Nothobranchius furzeri: one gene and its partner. The protein of the gene in region 1 interacts with the protein of each later gene in a pairwise test. Links are inferred from orthologs where the notes say so. Each region holds a gene or a part of one and is shown on either strand. Other genes may lie near its edges.

Region 1 (3,600 bases):
CAGAAGCACACCAGCACATCTGCATGTCAGCACCCCACTGAGAAGACAGATGTGCAACATCTCGCCACTTGTGACAAGCTTCAGCCACAGAAATGGGGAAGTGAAAATCTGCTGCGTCTATTTGAAAACAAGAGCATTCAGTTGACAGGAAACTCTAATTTCATGTGTGAAATTCCAGGACTGATTATCGGCACCGAGCTTCACTTCCCGTGTGGTCACATGAGGGTCGTGCCGCAGTGGAACTGTATTTATGTATTATGCTTGTACCGCTTCAAAGTCATTCAATTTACACCTAAAGCTGAACAGAAAGGAGTCACATAAACACGAACAGGTCCATCTTCAGAATCCTGGGCTTTTTTCTTTTGTGTTTTCACCTCATAAACATAAAAATATCCTATTTTGTCTAACAAATTGAACAAAAAATACATCAAAAGAAATGTTTAATCTAGGAAATAGATTTTAAAAAAATTATTAAGATAATTATTCTGAATAAGGATGACCAGTCCAGGCTGAGAAGGAATTACTTTTCAAATGTAGGAAACCAGAGTGAGAATGCAGAATTAAATGCAGAATCCACTAAAAACGATAATACTTTCATTAATGCGTTCATTAGTGGGTTGTACCCGTTAAAAGTTAGAAAACAAAAGGCAACTGAATTTTACAAGCTCATCATAGTTTCACTAACACAACCTATCAAATTGCCTCATTAGGTGAATTCATCTCTGTTGTTTTTTGTATTTTGATCATTTTTCATTTCAATCATTCTGAACATAAATATTATGTTACTGCAACCGATTATTTCCCAGTTATCGGTTTCAATTTTCTTTCAAGATCATGTGGGAGTTATACACACACACACACACACACACACACACACACACACACACACACCCGGGGACAATTCAGAGTTGCCAACTTACTAATATTCATGTTTGTAGACTGTGGGAGGAAACCAGAGAACCTGGAGAACATACAAGTATCCTTCCTGGAGTCCAAACCCTGGAACTGATGTCTCCGCCCCAGCAGTGCTACTAATGGCATCATCATGCTGCTCCAGAAGTACAAAATACTTTTGCATAAGTTCCCGTTTGTGACATCATATGGGGTAAATAGAATAGATGTCTGTCGCTTGTGACAGCGGGAGACGGGCGTGGGGGCTGGATGCTTGGCCTGGGGGGACCAAGCAAGGCCTGGCATCCTGCCAGGCTTGAAAGGCGCTGGGGGGAACCCTGGTTTTGGTTTTGGGCTGAAATTTTACATTTTAATTAAGTTGCACTAAACTGCCTAAATAATGACTACACACGACTATTAGACACTCATCTGTACAGGTTTTCAGCAAAAACGTTGAATAGGTGTTTCTCGCTCTTTAAAGTGACAGAGCCTAGAAATGGCTCATTCTGGAAGGTACTGAAACTCTCAAGAATTAGTACAAGTTCAAGTTTTGTATCGACCATAGAACTGTTTTAACCCTCCCACTGTCCCAATGGGTGTGACCCCACGAGGAAAGTTGACCATTGAGCAGGGTTGATGGTTTATCCCTTGGGTCCATGTGGCAGGGGTGAGGAGTGAGCACCACCTTAACCGTTGTATTAAAAAAAATCTGCTTGTTTTTTAGAATTTTTTAAATTAGTAGTTGTTTGTTTTTCATTTCAGTTCTGTTCATTCTTCAACAACGCCATAGGGATTGAAACATGCTCACCAGTTAAACCCATATTTTACATTTATGACCAACAGCACAGTACAATAAAAATATTACTTTACCTGAATAAACACACACGTGCGTTTACTGGTAATAACTAAAACACTACTAGTGTCTGAATAATTCTGTTTCTGAGGAAATTGGATAACATTTTTTGCAAACAGTCTTATTGTTTATTCTGATTGGCAAAATATTTTTATCCCCCATCATCCCTGCCCCTTTAGGAACCTTTGACCTCTATGACCTCTGAGAACATTGTTTTTATTCTCTATATTCGTGATTTTCCTCCGATTACGTTTACAAAAGTTTTCTAACCTTCCTGTTTTTATCTCGCTGCACATTTTAAAAAACAGCTCTACGAGGACTCACCGCAGCAGATCCCAGATCAGTTGGTGTGAAAAGACAAGTTACACCTAAAACAAGAGCAGATTTTACCTTCTGTGACTCCGCAGTTGTGGTGCAACGACTTCCGGTGACCCTCCAGTCCCACCAGTCCAGCAAACATCTTGTTTTGGATGTTAAAAGCGGTTGTCAGTCAGAGATCCCGGTTCCGGAGGGTTACATCGACCATGTTTTTAGGAACCAAGCGAAAGGAGCTGATCTCATTTCCGTTGTGGAAAATCAACCCTGTTTTTTTGTCTTTTAACTCAGTTCTGTTCAGCAGGAGAAAGCGGCTCCTTCAGACACATCCGGACTGACAGACTCGGATCTGGACTCTGGAGCAAGGCTCGGTTACAAAAAGCCGCCAGCTTGTTTTCAGCAGCATAAATCCTTGTATCCGTTTCCTTGGCGCACAGATTGGACAAACATCCGGTTGTTAGACGGCTGAACGAGACTAATCTGTGCGCTGGCAGATTGATCACTGAACGGTAATCCAGTGTTGGATCCGTTAGTCGCTGCGCTGTGCCCGTGCGTCATGCGTCATAGAACCGCGGCGTAAAGGAGGAGAGGAGAGGAGCTATACGTGTTCAGGAATTTGACTCCAAACTCCTCCGGCCCGCCTCAGAGGACCCTCCACTAAACTAAATACTGCGCTTAATTCTGTTTTTATTCCTAACTTCAGACCAACAAACGGAAAAAAGTCAATTAAAGTGTCATTATTTTTAATCCAGTTATTAAAATGGACTCAAAAGAGTTAATTAAAGTTAGTAATTGTGTGTTAAACGGTGGTTTCACGTGACAGCAACAATTATTTCGTTGTTTAGTTTTTTCCTAAGCTCCAGATTCCACAGCTGTCTCTCCGTCCTTCTTCCCACGCTTTCAAAGGCTCCTTTCACTCCGCTCGGCTGGCGGATGAACGACTCAGTTCACATGCACACCCACAATAATCAGCAAACTGCCTCCGACTGGACCTCTGCTTCTGGTGTCCTTTTAAATCACACACATTAAAGCCAATACGGTTTTCTACGTCAGATCCAAATAACTTCTCTCATTCTGCAGCTTCTTTCTCCTTTTCGTCTACATTACTGACATTTTAATTCAAATGAATGGCTTAAAATTGGGTTATTTGTAAGACCTGAATTTGTTTTACTACTTTTTACACGGCTGCTTGTATAAATGTGAACAGCAATTGAAATCTTAATTCCGTTAGTAATGCAGTACTGCGGTATTGCCGCAGGAGGGCAGCACGTCATTGCCTAACCTCAAAGGAAACGTTACTATCGTGCGAAATAAAACGTGAATTGTTTTTATGCTATATGACTGAGTTTAATGAACTTGAACATTTGTTTGAATGCTTTTTTAAGCACACTAAACAAAATGTCCTACATGTGACTGTCACATACATTACACAGAACTAAAATGGTCAGATCTGAATCACATCTGGAAGTTGGAGACTTTAAGTACTCTAGAAGGGTAGTAATAATAATAATAATTATTATTATTATTATTAAGTCGGAATG
Region 2 (3,822 bases), on another chromosome or scaffold:
TGTTTAAACCATGTAGTCAACCTGTGGTGTCAAGCATGTTATTTGTTTCTTTAGTTTGGTTCTTTGGCACCAGATGTCCTTTTCAATCACAAAAAGAGATGACATGGAGAGGACAAGAAACACTGATGATAGGTTAAACACGAGAGTTTCATTGTTGAAATATCTTAGTATTTCATTGTTGTTGAGAACTGTTTGTTCTTGAATGGCTTATTAATTTTTGGAACTTGCATCAGTAAACATCAAATTGAAGATTTCTTTAGGCGGTGAGCTTTCCAAAAGCATCAGGACAGTGTACTCCATCTGAGTCTGCTAGAAGGTGATTCTTGCAAGGGTTTGAATTTGCTGCAGGTACAAGCTGTGCAGCTAAGCAGAGCGCACAGCTCCGTTTCCCAGACACCATCACTTTTACCATTCTGCTATTATTTGTTTTTATTAATAGCTCTGCAAAGTCAAGCAGAAGTGAAAGCCAGGCAAAGGGTGCTCTCGATATTTAACAAATGCAGCAAGAAAACAAACAGGAAACTTTTGTTTATGTGGAAATACAAACAAGTGACAATATTTTAACTTTGATAAGTATTATCAGTAAATGCAGGCAGACAAGTCAAGTCAGCTCCACGAAGATTTCCTACTTCTGGTGTCTGTCAGTCTTCCTGTTCCTTTCTTGGTCTCTGACTTAACAACACAGGCCAGAAAGGTGTGGCCACCCTCATTGCTGTTATGATTGGCTGGTAGCCTGGGTTGTGTTATCTCCTGTCAAACATGCTGTTGTCCCACCCCAGATAGGGCCTGGCATTACACTTAGCCCGGCCCACTCTCAGTTACATCACAACCTGTGGAAAGAGCCTTGCATTTTTGCTTTCTCTTTACCCTGAACGGGCAGGTAATGCTGCATTGAAGGAGGTGTCATGTTGCCTCGTGAGTTTCACCTCTTTGAGAAACTTTAGAGACCGTGTGTGTGTTTTAGTGAGTATGGGCCTGCAGATATATGCCCCGATGCAGTGTAATTGTAGCTCCGCTGCATGCCAGTAAACACTCGACACAGGCACTGGACTCTTTTGCCTGCTTCTCTGTAAATGGGGCAGATCGAGCAGACGGGTCGTTTGTGTGGCTGCATGGTGCGGCACAGGTGTTCTTACTTCTCACCAGAGTGAGAGATCTTTAAAAGTTCCGCTAAAATGGATTTTCTTAAGAGCCTGGTTCCAGCCGTGATCTCAGGGGAGGCACCTGTTGAACATGGGGTAATCTTACCCAAAGAGTCGGGTCCACGACTCCTTCGCATGAAAAGACTGGGTCTGCTCACCATGGGACAGACCATCGAAGAAGATCCAGTAGACCCAGTGATTAAAGTTCATTCAAGATTGAGCTCCTCCAGACCTCAAACCCGCGTCAAAGGTACCGAAAGCACTTACTAATGGTGGGTTAACTGGGTTGACCCAGTTGTTGCTGTATAGGTGCCTTTTGGAAATGACAGAGTAGATCTCTACTTGTATGTAATTAAAATAGTTTGATGCTGACTGACTGTGTAGACATTACCACAGTACTGAATGCAACTTTGTAGTACTGTATTTTATTTTCTGATTACCACCAAGTTAGATTAGCTTTGTGCTCCACCAAAGCCTAAATGTCAATTTGTCTTAGGTGTGTGTCCTGCTCTGTGTTTGATAATGCAAACACAGACATAGAAACGTTGCAAAATAGCAAGACTGTTAAATGGCTGCTCAGTCTCAGCTGGATTAAGACAAATCTTCAAAAGGAAGGCATAGTTGGTTTAAATAACCACCTTGAGTAAGCTTTAAAAGCAGTTATCAGCACAAAGTAATCAAGAATTTAGATTCAGTTTATCTACTTATATTACTCATTTCATAAGATTTCGAGCATTGCTAAAGGAGTTTTTCAGAGTGGGGTTATGTCAGAAGAAGGAACAATGGTCATCTGATCATCAGACCCAATCTTGAAGTGAGTGCCAACAAAACATGTTTGTTTGGTTAGCTGGCCCCCTCCTCAAACTAAAGACTTGTCCAAATAATAAACAGCAATCAGACAAAGTGGAGTTGGAGCCCTAAAAGACGTAGGAAGGGTGCTGAAGAGTACTGAGTTCAGTCAGGTTATTACAAAGAAAATAAACCTGTAAAGTAAAAAAAAAAAAAAAAAAAGATGCTTACAGCAATTAGCAGAAAATAGTCCTTTAGTATTTTTTATTTAATATTATTTAAGTGATTTCATGCTATGTCAAACTGCACATAAAGTATTTGAATTGTTCTCCATTTGTTTAATGAGTTTGAGACATCAAGATTTCAGTTAAAACTTCTCTGCGGTTTTAATTTACAAGTGGCTGAGCTCTAAAAGAATCATGGCTGCTGACACTGTTTTCAGCCCTTCTGTTTACTGTCAACACGCGTTTTCCTCAACTAAAAACAGTAAAAGTTGATCATATCAGAACTTTGCTTTTGTTCTGCGTAGCACCTTGCTGCTCGTCGTGTTCCAGAGTTGGGTAGAAAACTCAAAAAGTCATTCTTATGTCCCCCACACCGTGAACTATGAAAAGTTGTGTTAATATCGGTGTTTGCCATCTTACCCACAGGTTTTTAATTGAATAACATGTACATCTGTTTAAAAATCAAATAATCTAAAATGTTGGTCTGCCATGACAAATCAACTTCCTAATCTTTTAAAGATGAAGACTGAGTTTTTCCTGTGCTGAAGGACGCACTGAAAGCAAGCATTGAAGCTCCTTTGCAAAGCATTTGAAAAGGTTAATCTACTCTTAACGGGGCTGCCATCGGATACTTCCAGGTCACTTAACTCAGGAACCATCAAAGAAAAAATCACTTCAAAACCCCTTTGGTTCTATTTTGTTGTTTGTTTTGCCCACATGCAATAAAATGGTTCTTGTCATGCACATGATGCATAAAAAGGATGTGATATAAAATCAAAATAGAACCTGCTGTTATCTCATTAAGGTTTAATTAATGCTAGATTATGTTGACTATATTGTGTCTAGGTACATTTTAAAATGGCAGCACATTTGGTGTTTGTACTCTTCTTCGTTTAAATTGGCCAGTAAGAATTTGTGTAGATGTAAAGGTAATAGAACAATAAATCTATATTAATTAGGATCATAGTGTTCATCTTTGTGAGTCACGTTTGGTGGGAGATTTGTATCTGATAATCTATTATTCTGTTGCATTCTGACGCTTTTCAGAGAGCACGAGTTAAGAGTAGAAATAGTTTTAGTTGAGGCAGCAGCTAAAGGCTTACATGCATGCACACATACATGTTTATGTAGGTCAAGACCATTGAGTTTGATGCAATAAGATGATAACTTTCATCAGTATCTCCAAATCTGTTTTGCTGTGCTACCTGTCGGAGCATGCTGGCGTACCTGTTTGCTCGTGGCTAAAGCATGACTCAAACTCCTGCTAAACTCACCGTACCTGTTGGTATCTGAGTAAAGAACTAGTCAGGCTAACCACAACAACCCACATAAACACACTTTACTTTAGAGCTTTTGAATCTGTTCAGTTAGTATTTAGTCTTAACAGTTAATTTGAGGTAATTATTCAGTTTTTATTTTAGAATTTTTGATTTGGGTTTTTAATACTGATCATTGTTAGTTGCATAATTTTTTTTTCTGATGACCAATATAAAGCAATATATAGTGTGTGTGCGTGTGTGTACACACACTCACACACACACACGCACATATATATATATGTATGTATATATGTGTGTGTGCATGTATGTAAGGGCTGCATGGTGGCACAGTTGTTAGCACTGTTGCCTCGCAGCACGAAGGTTGCAGGTTCGAGACTCGGCTGCGAC

Evidence for each region.
Region 2: the proteins of disc1 (region 1) and fryl interact in a two-hybrid assay, tested with the Homo sapiens proteins (2 studies listed by BioGRID and IntAct). The link is inferred for Nothobranchius furzeri from reciprocal best matches to the Homo sapiens genes DISC1 and FRYL.

The regions. Positions count from the first base shown.
Region 1 is NC_091752.1:2,312,077-2,315,676, reverse strand, and holds the start of disc1 (disrupted in schizophrenia 1 protein), read right to left. Parts: upstream 2,425-3,600; 5' UTR 2,205-2,424; coding exon 2,135-2,204; intron 4-2,134; exon of another isoform or gene 1-3. UniProt on the Homo sapiens protein: Involved in the regulation of multiple aspects of embryonic and adult neurogenesis. Required for neural progenitor proliferation in the ventrical/subventrical zone during embryonic brain development and in the adult dentate gyrus of the hippocampus.
Region 2 is NC_091748.1:39,410,258-39,414,079, reverse strand, and holds the start of fryl (protein furry homolog-like), read left to right. Parts: upstream 1-943; 5' UTR 944-1,175; coding exon 1,176-1,392; intron 1,393-3,822. UniProt on the Homo sapiens protein: Plays a key role in maintaining the integrity of polarized cell extensions during morphogenesis, regulates the actin cytoskeleton and plays a key role in patterning sensory neuron dendritic fields by promoting avoidance between homologous dendrites as well as by limiting dendritic branching.